Linked DNA regions of Lonchura striata. The protein of the gene in region 2 binds, or shares a complex with, the protein of the main gene of each other region. Links are inferred from orthologs where the notes say so. Each region holds a gene or a part of one and is shown on either strand. Other genes may lie near its edges.

Region 1 (15,176 bases), on a different chromosome or scaffold from region 2:
GGAGAGGTGGGACTATGCAAACCTTATGAACTTCTACAAGGCTAAGTGCAATTCCTGCAAGTGTGTCAGGGCAATCCCAAGAACAAAACACAGGCTGATGAGAGAAAGGATTGAGAAAAAGCCTGGGGAGAAGGACTTGTGGGGGCAGGTGGAGAAGAAGCTCAACATGCCACAGGCACAGGCACACAAAAACCCCCCTCTGTGCTGAGCTCACTGACCAGCATGAGCAGGGGGGGATTCTGCCCTCTGCCCCACTCAGGTGAGATCCCACCTGAAGAGCTGCTTCCAGCCCTAGAGAACAGTATCAGGAGAATGAAGAGTGGAGCTCCTGAAGCAAGCCCAGAGGAGGCCACAGAGATGCTCTGAGGTCTGGAGCCCCTCTGCTCTGGGGACAGGCTGGGAGAGCTGGGGGTGTTTAGCCTGGAGAAGAGAAGGCTACACACAGACCTCAAGAGCCTGTTCCAGTACCTAAAGGGGCTCCACAGGAGAGGGACTTTGGACAAGGGGGAATGGCTTCAAAGTGACAGAGGGTAAATTTAGATGAGATATTAGAAAGAAATTCTTCCCTACAATGGTGGTGAGGTACAGGTTGCTTCATGGACCTGTGGATGGCATCCCTGGCAACATTCAAAGCCAGACTGGATGAGGTTTGGAGCAATCTGGTGTAGTGGAAGGTGTCCCTGAACAATACTGGGGGGGGGGGTGGGGGGGTGGTGGGAGGAAAGAGGGGTGATGTCTTCAAAGGTCTCTTCCAACACAAACATTTGCAGGAGTGTGTATCTCTGTAGAGTTCTCAGGCTCACAGAGTATATCTCATGGCACAGCAATGACAAGGGCCAAAAAGCAGTCACCTTCTTCACTGCTGAGCCCTTGGGGCCTCTGCCATAAGGAAACAGCATGAATCAGGTTGGAGGTCTCTAGTCCAATCTCCAGCTTCAAGTAAGGTCCATTATGATGTCAGGCCAGGTTAATCAGGCTATCCAGTCTGGTCTTAATATACAAGGACAGAGGCTGAGCAGCCTCCCAGGGAAGTCTCTTCTCTACTGCTTGACTGTACTTATGGTGAAAAAACCTACCACCACCACAAAAATCCAACCTTCCTCCTATTTCCAGTCTGAACATCTCATTCCACCTCTCACCTTTTGTCTTTGTCCTTTCAACATACACCACTCTGATGGGCCTGGGTCTGTCTCTCTAATAACCTCCTCACAGACCCTGATAAGCTCCACTTGTGCCTCTCTGAAGACTTCTTTCCTCCAGGCTGAACGCACACAGTGTCCCCCACAGGATATGCAACCCAGACCATGAAATATCTTGGCGATTCAGGTTAATCTTTAAATTTTAGACGGAACCATGGCATGGAAACAGCTTTTAAGACCTCACCAGATCTGCTGTAGCCGCATTAAGATGAGAATTTATTTTTAAAGCTAAGAATAACAATGTTTCAAACTTTTTCTTTTTAAATTTACTCCAAATTACGTTTAGAAATTGAATAGTGCCTGATTACATGGAAAACTACATGAGGCAGGGGAAAAAAAAACCTACAGTGCAACTTCTTGGCAAGCAGGTCCTTGCTTCAATTTCAAGAAGGACTCTTCAACACCAGAAGCATACAAGTTGGGAATAGCTACTCCAACTGTAACTCTTTGTAATAGATCACTTGAGAGAAAAAGTGAGTGTTAAAAAGAACAGCAATTAGGTTGTTAATTGACTTTAAATACTCAGAGTGATAATTTATCACTTGCAAAACACTTACCTAAGAGTCAAGAAAGTAAAAGTTCAAAGTTAGGTTTAATTATGCTTATTGGAACACTGCAGGCAACAAAAAAATGTCCTTGGGGATTTTTTCACCATTTACATTATGAAGAGCAGAATAATCATGCTAAATTTAACATATGAAGAGATACAGATCATATGCAGTACTATAAAATTCAAAAGATGTTGATAACAACACAGCATTATTTTTCAATAGCTAACAATAGACTCAAAGCAAAGAGCAAGCTGCCACTAAGAGCTTATCCGCAGAAAGAACTCCACAAGCAAAATCCAGCCATACCTCATGTCAGAAACAAGAAACACAACTGGATAATTTATGGCCTATCTTCTCATGATGACTAGAACTGACATGGTGAAAAGAGATACTTCTGCAAATGTTACAAGTCAGAAAAGAAAAAAGTAGCTTATTTTCATACCAGAGGGAAAAGCCATGAGGCAGGACAACTATTTGGTAATGTAGATAAAATATATATAAATAATTCAAAAAAGTGTTCACAAGAAGTATTGAGGCATTAAGATAGCTCTGCCTTGTCAATTAAATAGCTCTTTATGATGCCAGGGTGTGAATTATTTGGACATGTCACTCAGCCTAACTTTGCAACCACTAATCCATCTGAAGTCACCATAGGGGAAAAAAAAAAAATCTTGTTTCTAGAGTCTGCAGCAGTCAGTGGTGAATGACACATTTTCTCTCAAAGTGACAGCAGACCTTCCTCTGTCCAAAAGCTACCATGAGACAAGTAGAATGAACAACCAGGGCAACCCCCAACCCCTTGCCCCGCCACCAAAATGGCACGGAAGCAATCAGCATCCTACAAGTCTGGTAAAGAAATTATACTGATTAGTCTGAAAGGAACTACTTCAGTTTGCTCACCTTCTGTGTATTTCATAAAATATGTTGAGTTGGAAGGGACCCATTAGGAACACTCCTGGCCCTGCACAGGTGTCCTGGGGTGACTGAACCCCAGGAAAAACAGTGAGGCTCCAGAACAGCTGCAGTACATCAATGACATAATTGTATGGGGGAACACAGCATCAGAAGTGTTTGAGAAAGGAGAGAAAATCACCCAGATTCTCCTGAAAGCTGGTTTTGCCATCAAGAAAAGCAAAGTCAAGGGGTCTGCTCAAGAGATTCAATTCCTGGAGGTAAAATGACAAGATTGACAGTATCAGATTCCCACTGAGGTCATCAACAAGACCACCATGATGTCTCCACTAACCAGCAAGAAGGAAACACAAGCTTTCTTAGGTGCCATAAGCTTTTGGAGAATGCATATTCTTGAGTACAGTAAGATTGTGACCCTCTCTACCTAGTCAACCACAAGAACAGTTTCCACTGGGGTCCTAAGCAGCAACAAGACTTTGCCCAGATCAAGCAGGAAATGGCTCATGCAGTAGCCCTTGGCCCAGTCAGAACAGGACAGGACCTGATGTGAAGAACATGCTCTACTCTGCAGCTGGGAACCATGGTCTGTCCTGGAGCCTTTGGCAGGAGGTGCCTGGGGAGACTCAAAGCACAACTCTCCCTGGCACCCTGACTACCGGTGCTGGGGTGGATGCTCATAGCAAAGGTTCCCTCTACCCACCATGCCACATGGAGCAAGTGAATTGCTCTCATCACACAGCATACCCATATAGGTAAACTGAATCACCCTGCATACAGTAGACAGAGCCAAAGTCCCAGCGGTGCATGTCAGAGGTTTGTCAGGGAAGACAGTTTGGATCAATGCTGCCTTGAGTACAGACAAACCCATTTGTGGGGTTGTCTTTGCTTAGGGACCAGGTTGTACACAGTGGATAATGCAGAAAGATGAAACAACATGATGTGTACCTCAGGGAGATCTGATTGTGGGGTGAGAACTACGTGTAAGTATCACTGTCTGATGAATGTCATTGCCATTGTCTGTATATAGCTGTATACTGTGTATGTGTATATAAATACACACAAGTGCTGAGTTAGAATATATACTAATTTTGGTAGTAAGCTGACTATATGGGGATAAGGGGTGAAGTGTCCTGAAATGACTTTATGATGCTTGTATCCCCATTAGTCTGTTTAGCCTAGAAATAAGTTCTGCACCATTAAGACCAGTTCCAAGAGCAAAGAGGGAGAGAGCAGAACCCTGGAGTTTATTATCAGAAATTGCACTTGCTCCCCCGCATCCTTCTCCTGGACTGTGCTGTCTGCAGTACAGACAGATAGCGGGACAGAGCTTTCCCTTGCTTTTAGTTAGTTTTTAGCTCACTGAGCCAGACAAGTTCCCTGGACTGTGGATTTTCTTTTTCTTGGAACTGTTCAAACCTGCTCTTGACTGAACACCCAAAAGAGCACTGGCAGCTTGCATCTGTGGCCCATTGGGCTGGGCCGTGGCATTTCCAGCACTGGAGGGTCTGATGAGAGACTGAGTGAGCTGAGCTACACCACACAAAGGAGACTTTCTGAGTTTATAATTTCTTCAGAGTGGCAAGGTTTTATTGTTTAATATTGTTCAATTTTTGTGCTGGCAAATGCTTTGCCAGCAGGGGTTTTTCCCACTTTTCTTCAAGGGAACTTTTTAATGAACCAGTTGGGGGAGGACAGCTTGAATCTGCTTTCTAGAGGAACACCCCTTCAGAGGTTTTCTCCCAAATTTGCCCTACACCAGGAAAACAGGGCATCCCAAAAAGGCCACCATGTGACAGAGCATTGTTCAAACACTTATTGAACTCAGGCTTGGTGCTTCTCAGTCCACTGCCCTGAGAAGCCTTGTGTGCTCAACCTCCCTCTGGGTGGAAAACCTTTTCCTCGTATCCAGGCTAAACCTCCCAACTCAGATCCATGCTGTTTCCTCAAGTTCTCTCATTAGTCATGAGAGTGTACAGACTGGTACCTGCCTCTCATTAGGAGGTTGAAGACTGCAAGACTTACTCTCCTCTTCTCCAGGCTGAACAAACCAAGTGCCCTCAGCAGCTCCTCATACAACTTCCCCTCTAGACCCTTCCCCATCCTTGTGGCCCTTCTTTGGACACTTCTCTATTAGCTTAATGTTTTTTTATACTGTGGTGCCCAAAACTGCCCCTAAAACTCAAGATGAAGCTGCCTCAGTGCAGAGCAGAGAGACAAATCCCCTCCCTCACCCAGCTGGCCTGATGCCTCTAAGGACATGGTTGGCCATCCTGGCTCCAGGGCACTGCTGACTCAGATCCAACTTGCCATCAACCAGAACCCCCAGGTCTCTTGCTGCACCACTGCTCTTTAGCCTCTAATTAATTCAAGGCAGGTACATATAGTAAATCTGTTATGATTGTGCTGTATGCTCAGCAATTTCATAAAGCCAAGTAAGTCACAGACACCTCGTGAAAGGAAAATGTGTACACATCCATCAAATTTTAGCCCTGAGAAAAATTTGTACTGCTTTTCAGCCATTGAAAAGATTAATTCATTCCCCACACAAGGGGAGCTTGTTGTCTTAAAAATGCAGCTTCAGCAGTAAGTTACAGACAAGCAAACTACTAGTTGTGTTTTAGCTGCAAGTTAATGAGAAAAGCATTCTGGTTCCCATAAATATATAGGACCAACAGTAAGGTCCTAGTTCTCTTTGGTATTCTAGCTGGATTGTCTTAACACTGACACTTCACGCATGTGGCAGTCAAGTACCAAAGACTTCAAAGAAAGTTTCTAAGAACTTTCAGTAACTACTTTATACATTAATACCAATAACAATTATTCTTACCAGTCTAAATCCCTGTTTTTCAATAATCACCCTCATAACGACAGTCCCCAAAACCTTTATCACAATGTCATTACATCTTTGCAGCAAAGTCGATCAAACTTCACACAGCTAGGGAGAAACTACTCCCTCCTCCTCTTCATTAGCTCCACACTTATCAACTAATCTGCCACCATGACAGGCAATGCCAAGACCAGGATGTGTTCCCAGGAAACTTCACAGTACAAACTTCTTTGGTAAGTGGCACTGCAACTATGTCATCTTTTAGCCCCCTTCTATGTAGTAGAGGGCCCTCTTAAACCAACAGCCTTCTCTTGTCAAGATACAGTTGGTCATTATTCCAATATAAAGAGGTAGGGGAGCAGTTTCACCTATTTATTAGAAACAAAGACAAGTGGATGAAAAAGACTTGAGGAACAACAAGAATAAAAAAAAATGAAGTAATTATTAGAGAGAATGCTTGCAGTTTTGACAAAATGCATCACAAAAAGATCATCCATTTAAAAAGCTCAAAATTGTAAAAGACATTGGCAGAATGGTTACTTGGAGGCAGTACTGACAGCTCAGCAGTGATTTAAGACATCCAACAGTTTAAGAGCATCAAAACCTAGAAGGTAAACATAACTAATATACTGTTGGAAACAGAAACACCAATCAATGAATTTAAAGACGGGTGTCATGGTAAAAGTAACAGGTTAAAAGACCTTTATATTAGTAAGATGAGAGGACACAAGACACACAAATCTCGGCACTTCTCAAGGCCAGGAAAAGGTTTGTTGCAGTAATCAAACAGGTAAAAATCTTGAGCTTCACCTGCATGAACAGACAATAAAAGCTATTGTTTAAACACACCAAACAAAAACAGTCTGCAAGAATGACTGAAACCTCATTCTAGGTACTTATATGGCCTGTGTGTCAAAGAATAATTAGCTTCACACCTCAGAACAAAGTATAATTGAGACAGCACTGTTGTACAGATTAACTGAGATTCAGGAAAGTTAAGAACTTCGCTGAAATCACACTTTTTTGTGAACATGAACATTGAGCTATCAAATGGTACAAACAACAGAAGACCAATATGAAGCAGAAGGTAAAAGAATTAACAGTACCAAAATAGTTACGTCACATATTTAGATTAAAATACCTGGGCACAAGGAAGTAAAGCATTCACCTAAACAACGGAAAAATAAACTCACTGATGTGCTTAAGAACGAGGAGAAAACAGTCACCTGAGAAGATCCTTGCCATGACAGAGTCTGCAAATAAGCCACGTAGAAAGACTATAGAATTTTTCAAGTTTCTGGAGAAAGATGCGAAATCCAGGAAGTGCACATATTTCCACTGTTATACAAAGAATATACATCTCAAAAATGGCACTGAAAGGAACAAAACTAGCAACAGTCAATGATATTAGAAGGAGGGGACAACAGTTTCAAAGCAAGACGATCTTGCTTCATCTGAGGAAAGATTTTATCACATTCTTATTGCAAGAAGAAACAGAACAGCAACAGATGAAGGTGACAACTGTGGAAGAAAGGCGAGTATAAACTAAAGAGGTTTTTACAGGTGAAGTAAGTCTCTGGAGGCAGGAAAGGATTTTAAGGATGGGATCACACTCCCCCTTGCCATCCCAGGCAGTCTACAAGACCCTGCAGGAAAAAAGAAGTAGAGATAGAAGCACACAACAAGTCATCACCAAAAGATGTAATAAGTATTGGTAAACTGTTGAGCTTAATGCTCCCCAGCACAAAGGGGAGTAAAGTGAGGGGCTTGCATGACTTAAGATAGGTATTGCCAAGCTTCTGATTCTAAGAGAACAAAAGAACCCATTAAAAAGTATTATAATAGCAGTATATAAAATAAGTACTTATGTTAAGTTTCTTGCAAATAGTCATTACATATTTGGCTACTACTATTCTTGAGATCACTTATCATGCCTCCTCAGGCACTGACAACTCACCCTGAGTCTGGAAGCCAACAGCCCAAGACATGCTGCATCATAGGATTTGTTAACTTAAGCGTAATTGTATTGTTAACTTATTGTAGGCTTCATCTTCAAAGGCTGCACCAACATTTATTTGCTTCCTATTGTTTAACGTTAATATCAGAACAGTAATTGCCACTGACACAGAGTTCAAAAGAAAGAAACTGTCCTGAAAGAAGGAGCCACACACACATTTTTCATTCACCTGACTCTGGGTATCTCTTTCCCTCTTCCTTTACCTGAGAATGATGAGAGACAACACAGCAAACTGGCTTTTGCCAAAACCCTGAGAGACATTTGTCATTCCCAAAGGCAAAATATGGATACCCACTGCCACTTGAAACACCACTGTACACACCTTGGGGAAGAATACCCAAAACTGCAGTATTGTAGACCAGGTTCTTCTAATGGTCTTCAGAAAAAAATGAAGCCACTTTACTAGACCACCTCTGATATTTTCAGCTTTAAAAACCCACAATGCATCTACTATGACACCCTGCTTTACACAGGCTTTCTATTAATCCTTTAACTAAAGGATTAACAAGAGTGTAAGCAAAGGAAAGATCTACAGTGGTACGAAAACTGTGGACGGTAACTTCAAAAAGCAACTGGACATGGCGGGGCACAAAGCGGTTCAGAGCCGGGGCCAAGACGCAGCGCTCGCTACCGTGCTCCAGGGCCCGTGCCCAGCGCCGGGCCCACGTCCAGGGAGCACGGGCCCCGGGCCACCTGCCCCGGGAGCAGCCGCAGAGTGAGCCCAGAACCACCGACCCGCGGGAAGCACCTAAGGACGTAGGCCCCAGCCTGGCTTCGTCCGCCCGCGCCTCGCGGACAGCGCGGTGACCCGGCCACAGGGCTCCTTTTGTCCGGCCGCCTTCCCCACTGGGACCGGGACGGCTGAGGGGAAGCGGCGCTCCCGGACCGGCCCCTGAACGCGGATCGCCGGGCCGGACCAGCCTAGGCCCACAGCAGCGCAAGGCCACTGTGGGCCAGAGTAACGACGCCCGCAACTCCCACCTACCTTCGTTCGCCAGGTCCGCCATTTTACTTCCTCAGCCGCACCCACAATGCACCGCGCAGCAGAACGACACCGCTCACCGCAGGCCCCGCGCGCCGCGCACGCCCCGATTTACGGCCGCTCCGGGACGGCGCCGCGCGTGCGCGGAGGGCCGCCCCTGGTTGACTCGCGGGCTCCGCGCGGTGCCCGATGGGTTTCCCATGGGTGCTGCAGCTCCGTGAGGGCTTTCTGGGCAGCGTCCCCGTGGGCCGACTCGTTATGAGGTCTGCGTTGGCCCGATCGCTCCCTGCGGCCCGCGCACCGTGTGTATCGCGGCGGTCGGAACGGGGCTAGCTGCCTGCGGGTCTCCGTCCCGTGCGCGGCCTTGCCGTCCTCCCGTGGCTGCGGAGCCCAGGCGGGCAGACCATGAGCTGCTCCTGGTGCCTCGTCCTGCGCTCAAGAGCAGCTGGCACATGGGGTATAAACTGAGCAATTAATGGTTCTCGTCTTACCTCTATGGATTGTTTCAAGGTTCATTTAACAGCAGCATGCACGATGCCCTTCATTTGACTACATCCCTCATAAGCTATCACACTAGCTGAAGGTAGAATCCAAGGGCCAGGCTCTTGATTCCTTTTGTAAGTCCCATCCATTGAAACCATCTGGTTTGCCTGCTAGGATAATCATCATCAGGAATATAACCGCAAAACTGACAAAACGTGTTAGGAGTAAATAAATTGTATTAATTAAAAAAAAAAAAAAAAAAACCAACAACAAAAAAAAAAAAAAAAAAAAAAAAAAAAAAAAAAAAAAAACAGAATCATCACTAAATGGTTTGGGTTCCAAAGAACCTTAAAGCCCACCTCATTCCCCCCATTTCCATAGAAAGGGACACCTTTCTCTAGACTAGGTAGCTCAATGCCATATCCAGCCTGGCCTTGAACACCCAGGGATGGGTCAACCCTGGCTTTCACCAGTCTACTAGCCAGGAATTTCTTGGCAAGATCCCACCTAACCCTGTGCTCTTGCAGTGGGAAGCCATTCCCCCTTGTCCTGTCATTCTAGACTCCTGTCCAAAGTCTCTCCAGCTCTCCTGGAGCCCCTTTAGGTACTGGAACAGGCCATAAGGTCTCTTCAGAGCTTTCTCTTTTCCAGGTGAGCATCCCCAGCTCTCCCAGCGTGGCTCCAGAGCAGAGGGGCTCCAGCCCTCAGAGCATCTCTGTGGTCTCTTCTGGATTGGCTCCAGCAGCTCCACATCCCTCTGATATCATTCCCTAGGGCTGGAAGCAGCTCTTCAGGTGGGGTCTCATCTGAGTGGCGCAGAGGGCAGAAGCCCCCTCCCCTGCTGCCCATGCTGGACAATGAGCCTGGCAGAGGGTTTTTTTGTGTGCCAGTGCCTTTGGCTGGGGCATGTTGAGCTTCTTATCCACCTGCCCCTACAAGTCCTTTTTCCCATGCCTTTTCTCAATCCTTTCTCCCCTCAGCCTGTGTTTGTTCTTGGGATTGCCCTAACAAACTTGCAGGAGTTGCAGTTGGCAACACTCCATGTTCTTTTGCATGGTATCCTTTCCCTCCAGCACATTGAATACACCACACAGGATACCTATTTTTAAATACAAAATACCTATCTGTAAGTAAATGTCCATCTTCAGCATATGACGGAATACTTCCATAGATCAGACAATACTCTTTGGAATTTTATGATTGCTTGCTGTGCAAGCTGCATTATCAGTTGAATTTGCAAGACAGTGGGCACAGGAAATCCAGGTGTTTTCTAAACCATGTTAGGGAAAAATTCTTACCACACTTGCTAGATAGCCATCTAGTTCAACTGGACACCCAGCTGTACCTGGTACTCATGACCAAGAGAGGAATGTTTGGGGACATGTTAATCCCTGGTCATGTTGGTTGTAACAGTCATGAAATTGTGGTATTCACCGTTCTGAGAGGCATGACAAAGATAAATGGCAGACTGCAGCCCCTTCAAGAGAATGACTTTGGGTTATTCAAGTGGAGATTCTGTGAGAGTTAGCTCTGAAGAACAAAGGAGTTCAAAAGAGCTGGCAGTGTGATAAGGACTTCCTCCAAGCCAAAGAACAGTTTGTCCCAGCAATCAGAGGCATAAGTGTTGGGAGACTAATTTGGTAAATATAGAACCTGTCAATTAACACAAAAAAACTATACATGGGATGGAAGCAAGGACAGACTACTGAAGTGGAATATAGGAATACTTCTTTAGCATGTAGAGATGGTATTAGGAAGTCCAAAGGTCAACTAGAGTTGACACTGCCAAGGGACTTCAAAAGCTTTCCTGGTCTTACTTTCCACCAAGTTAGTTTCACCAAGCTCAGGTCTCTGAGCTTTGAGACAGGATTCAGAGACAAGATCAAGTCAAAAATCTCTGGAGAATTCTCAGCCCACCTGTACTAGATTGCAAGATAATGTGTGTATTCTATTCCCATCTGTTAGATGTGTGGCAGTTATCTTCTGTTAGTTGGACAGTTTCCTATATTTCTTCCACAAACCAATCTCCTGGGAGACATCTGCTGTTAATGGGTTATTGAGTGTCACTGCATGACTGATAAAAATGATATTATCCCACTGGGAGATCCTCTGCCCAGGGGGAGGAGCCAAGCATTCCTACCTGGATATAATCTCTGATAATATATAATCTGGGACATCAGGGCAGCCTTTTTGACTGGATTCTCAGAGAAAGGCCAGGCCCATCTACACCACCACTGTATCTTCAGAGGAAGACTACAGCCTTCTACAGGATCACTGCTTCAACAGAACCACATCTGTCACTCCAGGAGGACTGCAGCCACCATTTCAACTGAACTGCTGCCAACACCCTGACCCACAAAGTGTCTGGTTGTATTTTCACTCTGCCAGTGTTGCTTTGTATAACTGCATTATTTTATTTTTATTTTCTTTCCCTAATAAAGAACTGTTATTCCTGCTCCCATATCTTTGCCTGAGAGCACCCTTAATTTGAAAATTATAACAATTTGGAGGTAGGGGGTTTACATTTTCCATTTCAGGGGAGGCTCCTGACTTCCTTAGCAGACACCTGTCTTTTCATACCAAGACACCACCCAAGTCCATGGGATCCAGTGGGCTGTGTGGGAGGGGGCTGAAAGCTGGCTGATGTTACTGAACAGACACATTCCATCAGCTTTAAAAGTTCCTGGAGATCAGTTACTACCAGGTCTGCATTCCAGGCAGTACTTTAAGCAGTAGGAGGCTCTGTTTAACCTCTCACTCTCCAGCTACCAAGGCAGAAAATATCATTAAGAATCTTGCTTTTCACCTGAGATGGGTCCTATCATGCTTACCTGGCTTAAATAAACTTACCACTAGTCAATAAGCTACATGGTCCTGAACAAGTAATCCCTGTTTTCCCTGAGGGTAGAGCTCCAGCCATGGAATCCACAGATATCTGGGACTGCAACATTTTTAATTTGATCCCAGATGAATTAAAGCTGATTTTAGCATATCATCTGATCATGACCTGAGACTTTGAATAGCTTTGCAAGATTTTTTTTATTTTGTGCGTGTCCATTGGGAGCTTACAGGGCTGGACATTAGTGCTGACAGCTGCATGATGTCCACATGGCAGCCTGAGTCTGTGTGTGGTTCTAGACCCTGTCTGTGCCTTTTCCCTGGAGAACATTTGGTGCAGACAATTTGCAGAGAATTTAGCCAAAAGAATTGGCATGTCTCTATTCACACAAGAACTGTAATTTTCAGGGATATACAGCATGGCTGACCTAGCTCCAGTCTTTATGGAATTTCGTTCCTTTCCCAAAGCAGACATGTCCTACAAACTGAGCCAAACACTAGTCTTGAAAAGTGAGAGTCAGAGTAATTACTTATTATGTGTCTAAAAAACAACAATTATTTAAGTACTTATTCTGATACAGATATCCATTACAGAAAATTTCATTTTAGAACATTAAAACCTATTAAACCAATAAGAAACTGTGAACATGCTTTTATAATGAAAATGCTTTTATAATGACAACTTTAATTATAGGAATTACTGTCCTATGCTTCTCTAATGAATGTGTGATACCAGCATAGTGAGTGATGTGACCTATTTAAGGGGAGTGTTTTAGAAATAATGTACCTCAGAAAGTTGCATACACTGAAGAACCAGCAGCTCACAGTGTGTTCTCTATTCATGTTCTAATTAGAGCCCATATTTCTCAGAATCATTAACGTAAGAGAGGAAAATTAACAGTTTTATCCTAACAGTGTTGGGAGGTTTCTGATTATGATTTAATTTACCTTCAAGTAGATCTGTAGTAATACCAGGATAAATGTGATTCTAGCAATTTATTACTTCAGTAAAAAGTAAACTCCATCCACACCAATTTCACAGTTCTTGTGACTTTTAGAAATTAATTACAAGAGTTATCTGTACCCTATGAGCTTGTCAACTTGCTGATATAACTAGAATCTATTTTGGGTGCATGCCATTAAGATACTATAAATGCCATACTTTCTGATTAGTACTATTGTTAGGTCAGTATTTCTAAGGGGACATGGCCTAAAAGTCACTATGACTTTGAGAAATTAAATATTATTCCATAGCTGAGCTCTCAAAAAAAAAAAAAAAAACTACCAAAAAAGCCAACAACAAACAAAAAACCACAAAAACCAACCAAACAAAAGAAAAACAAACAAACAAACAAAAACACAAAGGCAAAAAGCTACTTCACAAAGAAAACCCCAGCCCAAATCAACCCACCCTGTTTAAAGACTTTCTACTTCTGAGAGCATAATTTGGATGGACTCAGACCCTGAAGCATTCACAGTTGTTCCATAGCATGACAGTGGCATTTTGATCCATTGTCATAAGCATTCATCAGCAAAAGAAGAAACAGATGCTCTAGAGTGAAGACAGCACCACAGGTAATCACTGTCTCATTTCTAGCTGTATCACTCTATCAGTGTCCTGGACAAGAAGGCAGTTTCTAGATGCTCATACCATGTAGGTCAGTTAATATACCATCTTGTCTGCTTCTGGTAGCAGACCTGGATCAAGCAGAAAGTTGTACCTGAGGCCTCCAAAGGTCCATTCTACCCACATCTCTATGATTTTCAGCAGAACAGTTATTCTTATTAATTGGGAAAATATATCCAGGACTCTGTATAACTTAGGTTCTGCTTGAGTTGATTCACTTGAAACCTATTTTTTAACTTGTTTCTGAACTGATGTAGTTAATTCTCAGATAACTCATTCTTTACAGCTGTCAAGGACAAGCAACCTTAAGAGGAATAGGGCTTCCTTTTTCAACAGCAGCATGGATTTATGTCACACTCAACTAACCAATGTCACATGATTTCCCAGATGCTAGACCATTTCTGTGGGTATTACAGATCCACTTCAGAATATTTTGTTAAGGTTCTGCTCTCTCTTGTGGCAGGTCACACCTCCTGTGACATCATGACCGTGAGCCAGAAACTGCTATATTAATGCTACTGGGTGACTTAGCAGTGGCAAAGCCAAGTATCTTCAAGCACTTGTTTGCTGGAAATTCCAACAATAAAGAAAATACATCTGTTAACCTGCTTTCAGGCAACATGCAATGTGAAGCCAGTGGTTCATCCCTGGAAACTAATAGTTGCATGTAACCCTAACGCAAAATTAATCGGGGTGGGACTGGCCACACACCCCACATATGAGGGTCTTTAACAACATGACAGTGATGTTGGTTACCACAATTAATGTTTTCAGAGGTTTTAACTCAGCAGGGGATTTCTCATGAAGCATTTGTTTCCTCCTTTGTGAGGACTGAATTGTAAATTTTCCCTGAGGGAAGAGAGCCATCAGTCTTTCTCCAGTTGTAAGGAAAGGGGAAGGCTTTTTCTTTTAAACCCTTTGTATGTAACCAAGAGCCCCGTTGAGTGAAACTTCAACATTCCAGCGATGTCCCGCTAGCACACAGCTCTGCTCATCCAGGCATCGCTTAGAGGCTGCTCAAAAAAGCAGCCTGATGTCCTTAGGCCATGGCGTAGCCCTCCTCCCTGGCTGTGGTGGGATCTCCAGCACCCACTAGATGGTGACCTGGGATAACAAGAAGGAAGCTTATGAGGGGCCCTGAGAGCAAAGGATTGTTCGGCATGAGAGACTGAAGGAATTTGTCAAAACACAAGACCTAGGAGCAAAGGGCTAAAAACACTACAAGAGGGTCATTAAAGCTACCTTCCTGATGTTTTTTTCTCAGAGGAAGCAAGCTGGGTTTTTACAAGATGTGGCTCACTTCTAGTAAAGCGCATCTGTGCAAGGGCAACTAAGTCCACTCACAAATACAAAGAAGTGCCTTAGAAGAATTCATAGTCCAGCGTTCACTTCTCTAATTAACTTGCAATGTCAGTGCTGTTCCTGAGTTGTGACTTTCCAGACACACTGGCCCAGAACTCTAGAGCCTGAAAGCATGAGCAAGGCTGTCACTAATTAGTGCTATTGAGGGCCTGAACTAAAAAGCTGAGAAATCTTACTTCCCACCCTGCATTACTGGGAGACCCTGGCAATTCAAGCCTGTTGGCACAACCTTAGAGCTAAAATGCAAACAGCATCTTCCTCTGCAGACATCACAGTGTGCAAGAAAAAGGGAACCTGCACTCCCATTCCCTGGCAGGACTTAGGAACATCTTTTTTTGGTAGGACTTTGTTTTATTCAAGTGATTTCCTAAGCTGGTG
Region 2 (15,192 bases):
GAAGCAGTTAGAAATTCCAAATGTCTTTTAAAGATGCAAAAAGAAGAAATTATTGCAAGTAAATTCTTACCACTCTGAAGTCCCCATCTATATCAGAATCCTCACAGATATCCTCATGGGGAACATTCCTTCTCTTTAGGAGATGCTCATCTCTTTTGTTCTTAAAGAGAAAATGATGGAATACTTTTAAAACTTGGATTTAGGGAGGGGTGTTAAGATGGGAAGAGAAACTTCTGTTTCAAACAATCATAAATATACCATGACTGACATTGAAATCTTCCTAAAAAATTGGGAAGGACTGCACAGAGAAGCACATTTTGGGAATTCCTCCTAAAAAATCCTGCATCCAACTTGGCTGGAAGTTTGATGTGCACACATCCATCAACATTCCAGGTAATTTGTTATCATTTCTAGCAGGACACAGCAATTCCCAAAAGTTCAAAAGAAAAATAATTCCAGTTGTGATTCCAGTTTTGATTCCTTTTTTCCAACAATAATTCCAGTTTTACTTTCACACTTTTTTTTACTCTTCCACACTTACTTCTAAGGAAATAATTTTCTGCCTGCAGAGGTGCAGGAACAGCTGATTTTCAAAGGAAAAACTGAATCTTTAAAAACCTTTGGAAGTGCAAGAGTGAGTCCCTTAATTAGGTTAAAAATAAACTCCTGGTTTTCAGGACAGAAGTTGTGGAACTCCCATAACTACAGAACTTTTGAGTCTTTAATGAAAATTCTTACATTTTATCAGAGTAACAACAAAGTCAAATCCCACCTGGTAATAATCATAATATAAAATAAAAGCATAATAATATAAAATACAAGAACAAAAACTGTGGGTCATCTCACCTTTCTCAACTCCACAACAACTTCATTTCTTTGTCTTCTCATAGTCTGGAAAGAACAAAGATAAAAAAGATAATCTGAATTTAGATCAATTTAAAAAGTTATTGTACAACTATTTCAGTTCATGCACTTTAAACACAACTTTTACACACAGGGTTTAATTTTCATTATAAAAACAGATCTTACAGGAAATGGAAATAACTATAATATTTCTGTTATTCATAGTAAAACGTTCTTCTAAGTCTTCTTGTAGAGGAAAGATGGAATTAGGAATAAACCATGTTTTTCAAAGGGCAGAATGGAAAGGAGTTGTAAAAAACAGCACCAAAAGCATTATAAAGACCATGGCAATCTAACAATAAAGTAACTTTATAAACAAGCTCAAATTAAGAGACCCTACAAGCAAAAATGAGTTCCAGAACTGTTATTTATAAATGAAAACCTTTGTCATTTAACTGCAGTATTTTTTTGTCATTTTCTCTACAGCTGCCATTGACAGTACTCAGGGAAACAAATCAATTGTAAATATACATAAATGGGTTTATTGCTGCGTGTGCTACTGCAGTGAAAACAGAGAAATAAATCAGTCTGGAGTGATTTCATTTGAACACTTTGAACTCCACAGCGAACCGAGAACAGCAAAATTCCAAACAATTCCATTCTTATTGTGCCAAGCCCAGGGAAAGCTGGAGGAGAGCTGAAGATAAGCATCAAACCTCACTTCCAAAGCATCATTATCTTCTCAAAAAGAAGGTGCAGCTCATCAGATCGGATTTCAGTCGAGCACTGCAGCTCCCCAAAGCAAAAGGTTAAGGACAGGAAGAAGTGGCAAAGCAGGGATGGTTCCCTGCTGCTTTGGGAGCAGAACTTTGCAGGGGCTGAGGGGAAAATCCAACCTCCCCCAGGGACAGCTTCCTGCCCTGGGAAATGCAAAGTGCCAGGAGCAGCTCAGCAACCTGGGAGAGCCAGAGGAGAGGAGCTCAGGCATTTTTTTTTGTTGTTGTTGTAATTTGTTTTGTCCCACTCAATTGTCTCTGTGTCAGCAGCAGCAGCTTTGCTGTGAGCAGCAGTGCCTCCCCTGGGGTCTGGGAAGAGCCACCCCTGTCCCAGAGCAGTTTTTGGGTGGGAATGCTGATTTTATATTATATTTTTTGCTGGTAATACCCCCAGCCTGGGATTCCCCAGCAATGCCCAGCCCCCAGGACAGTGGATGCAGCTCAGAAGAGCAGAGGCAAGGCAGGAATAACTCCAGGGATGTTTCCCTGAGCTCCAGAAGCTGATCCCCAGCTGGATCCCACCCAGCACTTCCAGGCTTTGCAAAGATGCTGCAGCTTTCCACTTGTCTTAGGTGCTCCAGGCTCCTGCTCTCAAATGTTCACTGGAGTTTCTCCAAACTCCACTGATCTGCCATATCCAAAATGAAAATAATGTGAGGAAAGCCTCTGATAATCAGATTGCAGAACTGTACCACGCCCCCGATGATCTCACAGGGCTTTTAACACCTTCCCAAAGCTCAGGCAACAAAATCAGCATTCCCACCCAAAAGCTGCTCTGGGACAGGGGTGGCTCTTCCCAGACCCCGGGGAGACACTGCTGCTCACAGCAAAGCCGCTGCTGACAGAGACAGTTGAGTGGGACCAAAACAAATATTACAACCAAAAAGCCTCAGATGGGTCATTTAGAAAATCCTTTACTTAAAAAATCCTATCTGCAGGTGATCAGACTTTAAAGGATCCTCTGCCAGGACAAGAAGAATGTTCTCCCTCCTGGCATAAGCTGTCAGGAATTCCTGAATTCCTGCCTGCACACCTTGGAATCACAAAAGCCTTCACATGAAAGACAATCCAGCAGTGAAGATACTCTGAAGAACGATTTACCAAACCCTGGCTCCACTAAAATCACTGTGTAAACACAGTCTGTTGACAGAATAGTTACAGGTCAACCTGGCACTGCTCATCCTCTGAGGAGGAGGAAAAGCAGCACAAATGAGAACTGCAGCCAGCTCGGCCATGGCCTTTCCCAGTGCCACCAGCCCAGCCAGAGATGGAACAGTTTGGAGAAAGTAAAATGCCAAACAGAGCCAAGGTGGACTCGTGCAGCTTTTGGAGAACAGCTCCAAGGGCAGAGATGAGGGATGGTGGTCATGGCACGTGGGGAGTTATTGCTTCTGCTCGGGGGAGATCTGAGCTCTGTGAGTCAGCTCCAGCTCACACCACCACAGGAAACCACTCTCACCAGAAAGGGCTTTACAGCAGAGCTCAGAAGGCCCGGGAAGGGCTCCACTTGAAGAACACACACCACTCTGTCAGGAATTCACGTGGCTCTCCCAGTCTCTGGATCCTGTTTGTCATTTGTACATCAAAAATCAAAGGAGCCGGTCTATTTCTGTCGGCCTACGATGGTCATCCCTCCATCCTCCTTTTTTCAATTATATTTAGCTTCAGATTTATCATAAGGGTTATTTCTGACCATTAGTCATAACTGAGTCCCTCAGCTTATCATTAAAATCTCGTGGTAGTGATGCCTGCAGGATCCTGGGACATTCTGGGATGCACCAGCCCTTCCTAAACACTCCTGGCAGGGGGATCCCTTCCCTGAAGGGATCAGGAACTCAGCCTGTGCTCACTCCTGGGTGGGGTGGGGATTTTTTGCTGTTCTAAAACGTTCCACTCCATTTCTGCACCTCCAGCAGGGAGGTCTGACAGCACAGGAGGAACTGTAGAACTCTGGCTGCTGCTCTCGTTCTCCCAGGGAATGGTCTCCAAAGGCTCATTGTTTCTGTTGGGGAACTGCAAAGTCAACAGTTATTGTAAATAAAAAATGAGTTGGTTGTGCCATCCTTCCTTCCTTCCCAGGAAGTTGCTACCAGCACCAGTGTGGTCTGGGATTCCAAATAAAAACAAAACACACCCCACAGGGAACAGACAGCTGAAACCAGACTATTTTTCCTCAGCTATATCCAGTGATTCAGGCCCTCCTCCATCCATTATCCCCCTCCTATAAAAATCCCATCTCAATTCCAAAGTGGAGCAATGAAATCTGCTCTCAATATCACTGATAAAAACGCTTTGGGATCATAAAGCCAACCCAAGACACCCCCAGAAGTCACATCTCAGCAACTTCAGAATGAAAATGGCAGTCTGATAAAAAATAAAAATCAATATGACATTACATGTGCCACCAGGCCCATTTTTCCTGGAGAAGCTGTGCATGGCAGAGAAAATGCCTTAAACAAATATCTCAGTATCATTGGAAAGTGACAAGATGGATGAGCTTCACCACAGAACTCCAAGTCAGCTTAAAGGAACCTATTTTTATCTCACTGAGTGAAATTCCTGCTCTCCTTCAGTTCTTCCATATTTAATCCCAAGCAGACTATTTTGTGTGGGATACAGAAAGGGCTGAAAAGCTTCAAAGTACCTGCAATATTCAATATATCCCACACCACCACCTTTCCTGCACTCCCCTGGAGCTTCCCTGGTGCTCCCAAATACATTGGTATTTTGGAAGTCCACTGAATGATGCTGGCAACTCTTAAAATCCTGACATGACTGATCTTCAAGCATCTTGATGCAATGGCTGCTCCAAAATTAGTTTTGAAGTGCTCTGCATCACGGAATTCTCATCGTTTCCCTTCATGCATCTCTCAGTTGAGGAGCAGAAATCTCAATTTAACACCTCTCCTGTGCTGGCACTGTTCAAGCAATCCTTAATCTCCTGCCCAGCAACACAGGTGAGGCAGGGGAGAAAAGATTCAGCAGATTCATCCAGGATTTCCAGAGAAATAAAATGCAGAAAATATTTTTTATTTAATTAAAAAAAAAAAACCCTCTTAAATGTCAGATTGCAATGCTGCAGCAGGCAACAATCACCAAGAGAAAATGAAATGTTGAATCACCAGGTGAAAGAAAATGAAGCAAATAAAACATCCCAAAACTCTGCAAAACTTCCCAAATCAAGACCCCTAAATGCAGGAGTAAAAAGGCATTACTTAAATTCAATTTGTCCATAAAACTCCAGCACAGCCACAGTGATAAATTTGCACTTATCTGGCCTTTGTATAGTAAAGATCTGGAATTTAACTCCAAGATCTGTGGTATTACCATTAAAAACAAAGGTTGGCTGGGTGTCAGCACAGCTATCCCCACAACAACCAGTAAAAACCAGCTCAACCCTTCTCATCCAAGGAAAAAAAACCCAAGTAAAACCTGTTCCTCACTGAAGACAAGATGAAAAAAGTCACTTTACCCTGCTCCTTAATGGATCAGTATTTGCATAATTTAATATGAGTCCAGATAAGCCCTTCTTCAATTCAGACTCTGGGGTTGGAGGTTAAAACTGTGGCCACACTTCTGCAGTTTTTAAGGTTCCTCTTTGTGCTGAACCAATTTTATTTATCCCCCACAGCTCTAAAATCTTGAGGACCCTAAAAAAATGTTGCAAGCACTGACCAGAAATCTTAAATTCCCCCCAGAGATGCTGCCTCAGCTCCAAATTACTGCTCCCCCACTATTAAAAACTTTATTACGTGTATTCCTTTGAGCAGGAGCAGAAACCAGGGAGAGGACAAGGAATTCTTGGGGATTTCTGGTCCCAGTGAATCCCTGAATTCCCAGTGTCACCACCAATCTGTCATCCCCAAACACATGGCAGCAATTATTTACAACATGCCCGTGCAGGAAATGTTTACCCAAGACTTCAGCATTGAAGGAATTTTGTCAAACACCTTATGTAAAACAGGTGCTTCTGCTGGGCTTTGCTTTTTTTTTTTTTTTTTCCTCTTTTTTCCAGGCCAGAATTTGTATTTTTAGGAGCATATTGGGGAAAAGAAAACAAATAACTGGAGTAGCCAAAAAGGTGAAAAATGTTTGGTACTTTAAGGGATAAAATGTAGGAAATTCCCTGGTTTTGGTCAGAAATAGAAGAACTTCCAGTGAATATGTAAAACCTGGAAGGCAAGGGCAGTGTGACAGGAACTGTAACTGTCAATGGACTGATCTGAGCACATGGAATTAAGAGATAACATTTTTAGGAAGTTTGCAATTCACAACATGGCAACCTTTCATAACCTCTCCAGTTGGCATTCACCAAAATTCGGGCGATTTCTCATTTCTCTAGGGGTAAACTGTAATGGAAAATTAAAAAAAACCCCGATAGTTTTGTAAAAACAACCCAGGGCCAATTTCAGCGCAGATAAAAAAGGGGGAGGAGTGAAGGAGATAAAGATCAAATGTTGGTTTCCTCTGCCAAATAAATACACAAATTTCTGCCCAAACAGCCCTGCAAGCCGGATTTTGGAGGTTGGGTGGGAGTGGGCAGCAGCAATTCCCTCAGCCTGATGCCCAGTGTGATGTGTAAGCAGTTGATGAGCAGCAGGGACAGCCAGAAGCCTGAGCTATTGTATGAAAAATAGCCCTGCACCGTGGTTATTTTAGGGAGCAGGCATGTGCTCCAGGATTTGCTGGATAAATGTCACTCTCTAAAATTTAACACGACCCAGCAGTGGGTTTGGGCTGTGGAAAAAGGCGTTTCAGTGCTGCAGCAAATTAAAAAAAAAAAAAAAAAAAAAAGATTGAAGAGCTTGCCTGCCTTCTGACACACTCCCACGTGGTGTTACCTGCGTGTCCATCTTGAACCTTCCCTACTTCAGCCCTTTCCCGTTGAAATTCTGCACCAAGGCACCTGAATTCCAGCCTGTGTCTACTCATGAATCCCATTTTTCACTGTAATGGAACATTCTGTGTGCATTCCTAAAGATGCCTTCCTGTAGCTGCCTATTCAGTGGTAACAAAATTGATATAAAAATAAATTAGTATCTAAGGCGAGGGGTTGCCAACCAACCTCACAACACTGTTAGCAAGCAGAGCAATTAATTATCCCCACTCACAATATTTTTGCCAAAAGTTTGGGCATAACTGAGTAATAAAATGTTCTATCAATCTAAGTGGGCAGGTTAAAAATCCAGGTGTTACAGACTCCTGGGAAACTGACGTTTAAATCAATACAGGGAATATAAAGGAGTTTTCACTTTTGAAACATTGTAATGTCTTCATATATAAGAGTAGAATATTATGGAAAACACAAGGGACACTTTGAAACTAGCAAAAGACAGCCACGAGGAATGCCAAGATTCTTGTCCACAACCCTGAACAGACAATTTTAACCTCCAACCAGCACTCCTGGCCGAGTGTTTAAAGGCGAGGATTGATACCTAGCTTTAAAATTTGCTTATTTCCTAAGGAAACCCCAAGTTAATTACTTATCCTGCTGTGTTTAGGAAGCACCTACAGAGCTCGAATAATTGAACCACCAAAAAGTTCAGCGTTCAGGGGCTACAAGGCAGAACGGCTTGAGCAGAAAAGAGAAATACAAAAAAAAAAAAAAAGAGAATTTAAAAAATAAGAGTTTTTTTAAAAAAATAATCTTGCTATGAAAGTTACGGCGTTATTTATTTAATTAGGTATCCTGGAAACACGCAGCAGAGTAGGGCCCTAATACTGACTCAGGCTTTTAGGAGCTGCTGGGAGAAGAATTGTTCCAGCAGCGATTCCGCCGAGCCCACCCCGGAGCGGGGCCGCTGGGGCAGGGCCGGGCCGGGCCCCGAGCCCCGGCGGGCGCAGCCGCCCGGGAGGAGCCGCGGGGCCGGAGCGGGGCCGGAGCCGGGAGCGGGGCCGGAGCCAGCTCGGAGCGGGGCCGGAGCGGGGCCGGAGCGGGGCCGGAGCCGGCTCGGAGCGGGGCCGGAGCGGGGCCGGGAGCGGGGCCGGGAGCGGGGCCGGGAGCGGGGCCGGGAGCGGGGCCGGGAGCGGGGCCGGAGCCGGCTCGGAGCGGGCTCGGAGCGGGCCCGGAGCGGGCTCGGAGCCGGCCCGGAGCCGGCCGGGAGCGGGGCCGGGAGCGGGGCCGGGAGCGGGGCCGGAGCGGGCCCGGAGCCGGCCCGGGCGGGCGCGGCCGCTGCCCCTCGCCGGGAGCCCGCGGGCCCGGCCGCGCCCGGCCCTCAGCGCGGCCTCGGCGGCTCCTTCCTCCCTCCCTCCCTCCCTCCCTCCCTCGCCGCTGCCGCCTCCCCGCGGCTCAGGGCCCCGCCGCGCTCACCTCCAGGTCGCGGCCTTTGTTCTTGAAGTTCTTGAGGCGCTGGTTGTCCAGCTTCTCGCTGTCGGCCATGGCGGGGGGCGGCCAGGGAGGAGCGCGGCCCCTCCGCCTCCGCCCGGGCCCGTAGCGCGCCGGGGGCCCGGCGGGCCCGCAGTCGGCCTCAGCGAGCCGGGAAGGGCCGGGTGGCGGGGCGGGGTGGCGGGGCCGGCGGCGGGGCCGGCGCGGGGCGGGAGCGCGGCCCGGGGCCGGGCGGTTGGAGCGGGCCGGGCCGGGGCCGGTGCCGGCGGCCCGATCGCGCCGGTGCCGCCGAGCGGGGGAAGGGACGGGGCGAGCGGGGGGGGAGAAGGGGGAGCCTCGCTCTGGGCGCCGCCGCCCATTGGCTGCGCCGCGCGCGCCCCGCGGCCAATGGCGGCGGGCGGGGAGAGGGCGGGAGCGGTGACGCAGCGCGGGCAGGGGGAGGAAGGAGGAGCCGCCTCAGCGCCGCCGCCATCTTGGGCGCTGAGGGCTGAGGGCAGGGCTGGGGCGGGACGGGCGCGCCCCGCGCCTGCGCTGCTGCCGGGAGCGGACCAAAATTTATCTTTTAATCCTTTTCCCAACGGCGCTTGCATTTCGCTCCCCTCGTGGAGCCGGCTGTTTAAACATTCCGCTCGCTAGGCTTGGCGTTCACTCCCCTCATGGAGCCGAGAATTGGCGCTCTCCTCGCCACACTTTACATTCACTCCCCTCACAGAGCCCAAAGTTAATAGTTTAATCCTTCCCCTCGCTAAAGTTTGCATTTGCCCCCATCATGGAGTCAAAAATCGAGTTTAATCCTTCCCCTCACTAAAATTTGCGTCTGCCCCCATCATGGAATCAAAAATCGAGTTTAATCCTTCCCCTCGCTAAAATTTGCGTCTGCCCCCATCATGGAGTCAAAATTCGAGTTTAATCCTTCCCCTCGCTAAAATTTGCGTCTGCCCCCATCATGGAGTCAAGAAATCAAGTTTAATCCTTCCCCTCGCTAAAGTTTGCATTTGCCCCCATCATGGAGTCAAAAATCGAGTTTAATCCTTCCCCTCGCTAAAATTTGTGTCTGCCCCCATCATGGAGTCAAAAAATCAAGTTTAATCCTTCCCCTCATTACACTTTGCATTTATTTGCATCATGAAGACAAAAATTACACCTCAATCTTCACTCTCTTTACACTTTCGTTTGCCTAGAGTAATCCCCCTTCCTCCCAGTCTTCCAGAATTTTAGCAAAAAAAAAAAAAAAAAAAAAAAAAAGAAAAAAGAGAAACAGTATTAAAAACAATAGAGAGAAACACTTGCGGAGCAGAGGGGATGGTAATTTTGTTCCTACTTCTGAAATTCTACCTGGAAAATAATGCCTGTGTACCATAACTAGAAGAATTCTGTGGAGTATGTGTGTGTGTATATATATATATATATATATATATAATATATGTATGTATATATATATATATGTACTGCCCTGACCCTGCATATAGTCTCTACTTATTTTTAATGATTGAAAATGAGCCCTGTAAAGTCTTCCATGTTGACAGAGCTCATTATAATTTTCCATGACACTTGTTGAGAAAAATCAAAGTTATGACAGGGGATGTTTTTCCCAAGTGTGAAAATGAAGTCACCGAGTCCCTCGGAGACTGAGGAGTATCAGGAAAGATAATTTGATTTAGCTCCTGAGGAAAACAATGGTTTTTCAGACTATGTGTGTTTTATCCCTGGACATTTCCCAGAGGACGAGGCTTGGATCTAGATATTTCTCCAAAAAAACCCCAAAAGTCACAGAGGCTGAGTCACCGCAGCCCCGTCTGTTGCACAAATGTGGCAGCGATGTCACAGCAATATGAGGAGGGTAAATTAGTCGGGGCTAATTAATGCTGGTGCTATTCCATGGAGGCATGGCTTGTCTCAGAGGATATAAAACATTTTCTCCAAGAGTGGTGTAGGACAGCAACCCTTTCACATCCCAGTCTGGATGGACAAAAATGACATTTTCTTGATACAGCTATTTACTTTTTAAAATGTAATGCGGATTTGCCACGTGGTAATGTTGTAAAAGAATACATAGAGATAAAATTTTAAAAAATAGTATCTTTATTTAGTGCTCTGTTTCATTTACAGAAAGAAGAGAGAGCTCGGATTGTTCAGCCCAGAGACGAGAAGGCTCTAGGGAGAATTTAGAGCCCCTTCCAGAGCTTAAAGAGGATCCAGGAGAGCTGGAGAAGGACTTTGGAGAAGGGATGGGGGACAGGACACAGGGAATGGCTTTGAACTGAGAGGGCATAGGTTTAGATTAGATATTAGGCAGAAATTCTATGATGAATAATGAAACTGGACTCTGGTGTGAACTATGTGTTCCATTCCTGCCCAGTGCTCAGAACTTGTCCGAATATGATGGTAAAAAAATCCCCCCTGTGTAAGACACAGCCTGGAATTTTATGAACAAAACCCTTTTATTCCATCGGTGCCCTTTCCATCACCACCTTTTCCATGTTTTTGTTACCCCAGACGTGCCCATCCCACCCCTGGTGTGGGAAGGATGGAATGGGAAAGGCAGCACATCCTGGCTTAAATTTTCCTTTAAAAAAGCATACAATTTTCCTATTAAATTCTAGTCCTGGAGAATCTTCCTCCAAATCCAGCCCAAAAATCATCTTGCTGTACTTTGCTGCTTTTATTATATATATAGATTAGTAAAAATATGTAAAATATATTACATTTTTAAACTTATATTAGTATTTACTAATATTTATTAGTTAAAATATGTAAAAATATAAAATTTATTTACTAACACCCCATTTCCTTTCTGTGTAACTCCATATAATGATAGCCAAAACAAACTTTGCTCTTGCTAAGTTATGAAGGAAGACAATCCTCTGGTGGTCTTTTGATCTGATATCATCCAAGGAATAATTTATATTGTGATTTCATTGTAGACATCAGAGATTAATCAAGTGCATTTTGTGTAACTGTAATCTAATTAAACTGCTTGGCTTTCAGAGGAATAATTTCTGTTTGATTTTACCTCAGGATCACAGTACAAAAACACTCAGAAGACCAATTTCAAACCCTTGATCCAGTGTCACTGGGCTGTCTTTTAAAAAAACCCCAAACAATTGGATATTTTGATTCTAAATCAGTTTTTTTTACTAAATCAGGTTTTTTTTTTACAGTTTTTTTTTTACTGTAGCTGCCTACAACATAATAAATTATGCATAAAACACAAATTCTCATGGTATGGTGCTGTTCAGAACTTCATGTGATGCTACAGAACAAAGCTCTGCTTCTTTAATATTTTTTGCATATTTTTTAGCTTGGAAAATAATAATGCAAATATCAAGGTGGGAATTAGGATCTGCTCACCTTCCTATCCTTCAAGCAACAGATAGATTTGTTTTACAAAGGGTTCACATTTTCTTTACAATTCACAGTTTGTGAATTTTGAACCTCATTATGCAATTAGAAAATGTTTAATTCTCAGCTTATCTTAAACACCTCTTTTGAGGAATAATGTGAATTGATCTGAATGCTGTTCCTAATATATTAGTAAAAACATATATAAAATAGATAAAATTTATTTATTAACTGTACACTTAGGTGAAAGGAGCTCCTGCAAATGGCTTTTCATAGCCCTATCTCCCTCCTGTAAGAAACAAAATGTCATGTAAAGCTGCAAAGATTTGTGTTGCACACAGAAAAACACCCATTAATCCTGGGGTTTAGCCAAATGGAATAGCTGCTATTAACAAAGAAGCAGCCCGCTGCTGGGAGGATATTTTATAATAATCTTTCAGCTGCTGTGCTGACTTTTGCAAGAGACAGGTTGGAAGGAGGTTTTTGATGGGAGTTGGCTGACGTGCTTTGGATGAGAGGAATAATCAAAGATTTGACCCACAGACACCTGGACAGCTCTGCTGTCTTCCTTCATAACTTAGCAAGAGCAAAGCTTGTTTTGGATATTATTATATGGAGTTACACAGAAAAGAAACGGGGTGTTAGTAAATAAATTTTATATTTTTAACATATTTTTAACTAATGAATATTAGTAAATACTAATATAAGTTTAAAAATGTAATATATTTTACATATTTTTACATATTTTTACTAATCTCTATATATAATAAAAGCAGCAAAGTGCAGCAGTGTTTGCTCCCTTGTGGAGGAACATTTTCATTCAAAAGCTGCAGAGTTCCTGTGCTTGTTTCCCTTGGGTTTGTTCATTTAGAACCGCTGGTTACACTGTGTTCTGCTTTTCTTTCTATTTAGACAAAAAGAAGTATTTGCAATTCAAGAAAAGATTCTTCAGTCAGGGTGGCACTTATAAACTCACTTTTTAAAACCAGCTTCTTACCATGATGGACTGCACAGGCTTGAGAAGGAAAATCAGCTTTAGGTGTTGCCAGTGTGCCAGGGTTCGCTGCTTTTCCATTTCTAACCCTTTCTCTGGGTGGGCCACTGGGATCCTGGAGCTGCTCCGGCCCCTCTCACACCTTAGGGCAGCCAAGGGCTGGCTGTGGCACTGATTTTTTGGGATCTCTCCCTCATTCCCACCAGCCCTGGGCTCTGCTGTGTCCCTCAGAGCTGCCTCGGGGATCTCATCCCACGAGGCCTCTGAACGTCAAACACCCCCAATGAGCATTTCCCCACGAGTTAAAGTTAAAAACATTCCACGGGGGGATTGCCTTTAATTTGCATCATTGCCCTTGCTACAATTCAGCCCTTAAACCTTCAGCTTTTAATGTGCTAAAACAGAGCTTTTGCAGACAAATTTGTAGGTCACGATGTGACCATTGGCAAAAATATTCCTTGGTACCAGAGCTGGAGTAGATCCCAAAAATCCATCAGCTGCAAATAGTTCAAGAAGAAGAGGAGTCAATCCTCAATCAGCAGATTGTGGAGCTGCACTTCCCTGCTGGTGTCCAGCTGCTTTGCCTTTCCAGCACAATTTCCCTACTAAAGGAAATTTTCCTTAAAAAAAAAAAAAAAAACAGTATAATTTTCCTATTAAAGGAAAGGAAAAAAATCGTTTGAGGATGAAAAAAAAAGTGAAGAAGTGGTTAGTGAAATGAGTCATGTCAGTGTGCCCTGGAAGATCCCGGGATGTGTTTTTTCCATGTTAAAACAAATCCTTGTAGCACTGCTGATGGTGGGACAGTGACAAAAAAAAATGCTTCTATCTCTGCTGGTTTGGGGTGAGTTCAAGCATATTTCTAAAAGGAAAGGAAAACTTCTGATCTGCTGGCAGGTCTGGGAGCTCCAGTATTCTGGATCCTGTTCCACTTGACTGCAGGAAGGGAAGCTGCTTTTCCATCTTTAATTCCTCAGGTTTCCAAAAGGAAGGCTGATCACTGGATTTGAAAAATCAATCTGCACAAATGCTCAGATAATTCAGTGTGACGTGTTAGGTGATGTGGTTCATGCTGGACACAGAAACACTGACAGGATCATGAAAACGGAGACTTTTTGGGGAGCAGCTGAGGTTTAAACTCTTATTTCTGGCTTTTAACACTTCTAGGGAGCAAACCCAAGACACAACAAAAATGTAAATGTCCAGATGCAGATTGCTGCTGTCAGTGCTGTGTCTCAGGCTCGGTTTGAAAGGAAACTCGAATCATGGGCTGAATAAGGAATTTTGAAAGACTCGGGCTTGGTATTGAGCAGAGAAATGAAAATAATCCAAGTTTGCATCTCTCTTTGTTCTGCTGTAATGGAGAAAATGAGAGCTCTGAGCAGCAGCACTAACGAGGCCCATTCTCCAAGGCTCAGGACTGAGATTTCCTTGATTTTCTGCTGGCTGATAAATGGTAATATTTCTGTTCAGCTTTTCTTTGGAGGGGGAATAATGGGCACATCATTTTTCCTGAATTACGGAGCATTTCAGCAGCTTCAGGGATCTGTGCCTCTGTCAGATCACCCAGTTCAACCCTTTCTTTTAATGCTCATTATTCCTCTTTATATTCAAATCTCACTTCGGTTATGAACTGGTAACCAGGGCTCTTCCAAATCACCACCGACTTTGGAAAAAATGGGAATTCCCATTTAGGAACGTGCTTGTTTGGGCAGTTTGGACATCACTCATTGTTAGGAATTTTCAGTGCCACAAAGTGAAACTTCATCTTAATGCCTGATGAAAAAAATGTGGGCTTTACCTACAGAGCAGAAATTATATATTTGTATATACATATATACACACATATATATATTTATATATTTTTATATTTTTATATATTTATATTATATATATATGTATTTAATATATTTAATATATTTGTATTTACCAAACTGAAAAGCATCTCTGAAAATAAGCCCATCGGGGCTGCACTGAGGCAGGTTTTGTTTAAAAAAAGCGATTTTTGGCTGCTTGGTTTAAGTCTCAGAGAGTTCTCGCGCTCCGTTTGAATTTGCAACCCGATAGTTTCGTTTTGACGAGCTGCAGGAAGCCTCACACACCACAAGATGTCTCAGCGAGGAAACACATTTTATACAAATATTTTTTAATAATATTACTCAATTTTCTGGTGTTTTTCTCGGTTTTTCCTCAGTGCTTGACGGGGGCTTTTCAGCAGCACACGAGGAAGCCCAGCCTGTAAAAATTCACCCGTTAGCGTGGGCAATAAATGGTATTTTAAATAATCAATGATCCAAATGACTCAGTGGAAAACCTTAAGCGTCAAAAAGAAAGGGCTCAGTGTAGGTGACAGCTAAGAAATTTTAAATTTTAATGTGTAGGTTAAATTGAAGAGTTATTTGAAACTATAATTCATTTCCACAAGGTTTGACTTCAATATGTTAATTATTTTTAACTATTCACACTCAGGATTAAGACTGTTTAGAGTTGCTATGAGAAGACAGTTCTGTGCAGAATATTTTCTCCAAAGTTGCAAAGTTACATAATCTTTATGGCCTGATATTATTTTATCTGTGAAACTGCTGCCTTCAGCTTTGACCGTTCAGGGAGAGCACAGGGAAGTTCCCCCTGTGAGCTCCAGGAGGGATTGCACACATGAAATGTTGATTTTGAAAGAGGAGCAGCCGCAGCTTTTGCATCAGAGTGCAAAATTAATGGCTGGGAAGGAATTTTTATTTTATTTTATTTTATTTTATTTTATTTTATTTTATTTTATTTTTTGCTTTCTATTGCTTTGTGTATTCACAACATTCAGTACTCTGGCCTAAGAATTTTCTCACTTTTCCTTTCGCTTCCCCTTTTTCCTGGTATTGCAGTCGTTTATCTTCCCCCACCATCCCTCCAGATTAACT

Evidence for each region.
Region 1: the proteins of KPNA4 (region 2) and RANBP3 are in contact, whole or in part, in a crystal structure (PDB 5XZX), measured with the Homo sapiens proteins. The link is inferred for Lonchura striata from reciprocal best matches to the Homo sapiens genes KPNA4 and RANBP3. Residues at the interface, in NP_002259.1 of Homo sapiens: Arg96, Leu99, Ser100, Asp102, Arg103, Pro105, Phe133, Trp137, Thr140, Asn141, Ala143, Ser144, Gly145, Thr146, Ser147, Thr150, Glu175, Gln176, Trp179, Gly182, Asn183, Gly186, Asp187, Asn219, Trp222, Val225, Asn226, Arg229, Asp261, Trp264; in NP_015561.1 of Homo sapiens: Asn114, Tyr115, Cys116, Pro117, Pro118, Val119, Lys120, Arg121, Glu122, Arg123, Thr124, Ser125, Leu127.

The regions. Positions count from the first base shown.
Region 1 is NC_134630.1:1,315,059-1,330,234, forward strand, and holds the start of RANBP3 (ran-binding protein 3), read right to left. Parts: upstream 8,608-15,176; 5' UTR 8,514-8,607; coding exon 8,492-8,513; intron 1-8,491. UniProt on the Homo sapiens protein: Acts as a cofactor for XPO1/CRM1-mediated nuclear export, perhaps as export complex scaffolding protein. Bound to XPO1/CRM1, stabilizes the XPO1/CRM1-cargo interaction. In the absence of Ran-bound GTP prevents binding of XPO1/CRM1 to the nuclear pore complex.
Region 2 is NC_134612.1:25,418,894-25,434,085, reverse strand, and holds the start of KPNA4 (importin subunit alpha-3), read right to left. Parts: upstream 8,087-15,192; 5' UTR 7,999-8,086; coding exon 7,930-7,998; intron 892-7,929; coding exon 847-891; intron 161-846; coding exon 71-160; intron 1-70. UniProt on the Homo sapiens protein: Functions in nuclear protein import as an adapter protein for nuclear receptor KPNB1. Binds specifically and directly to substrates containing either a simple or bipartite NLS motif.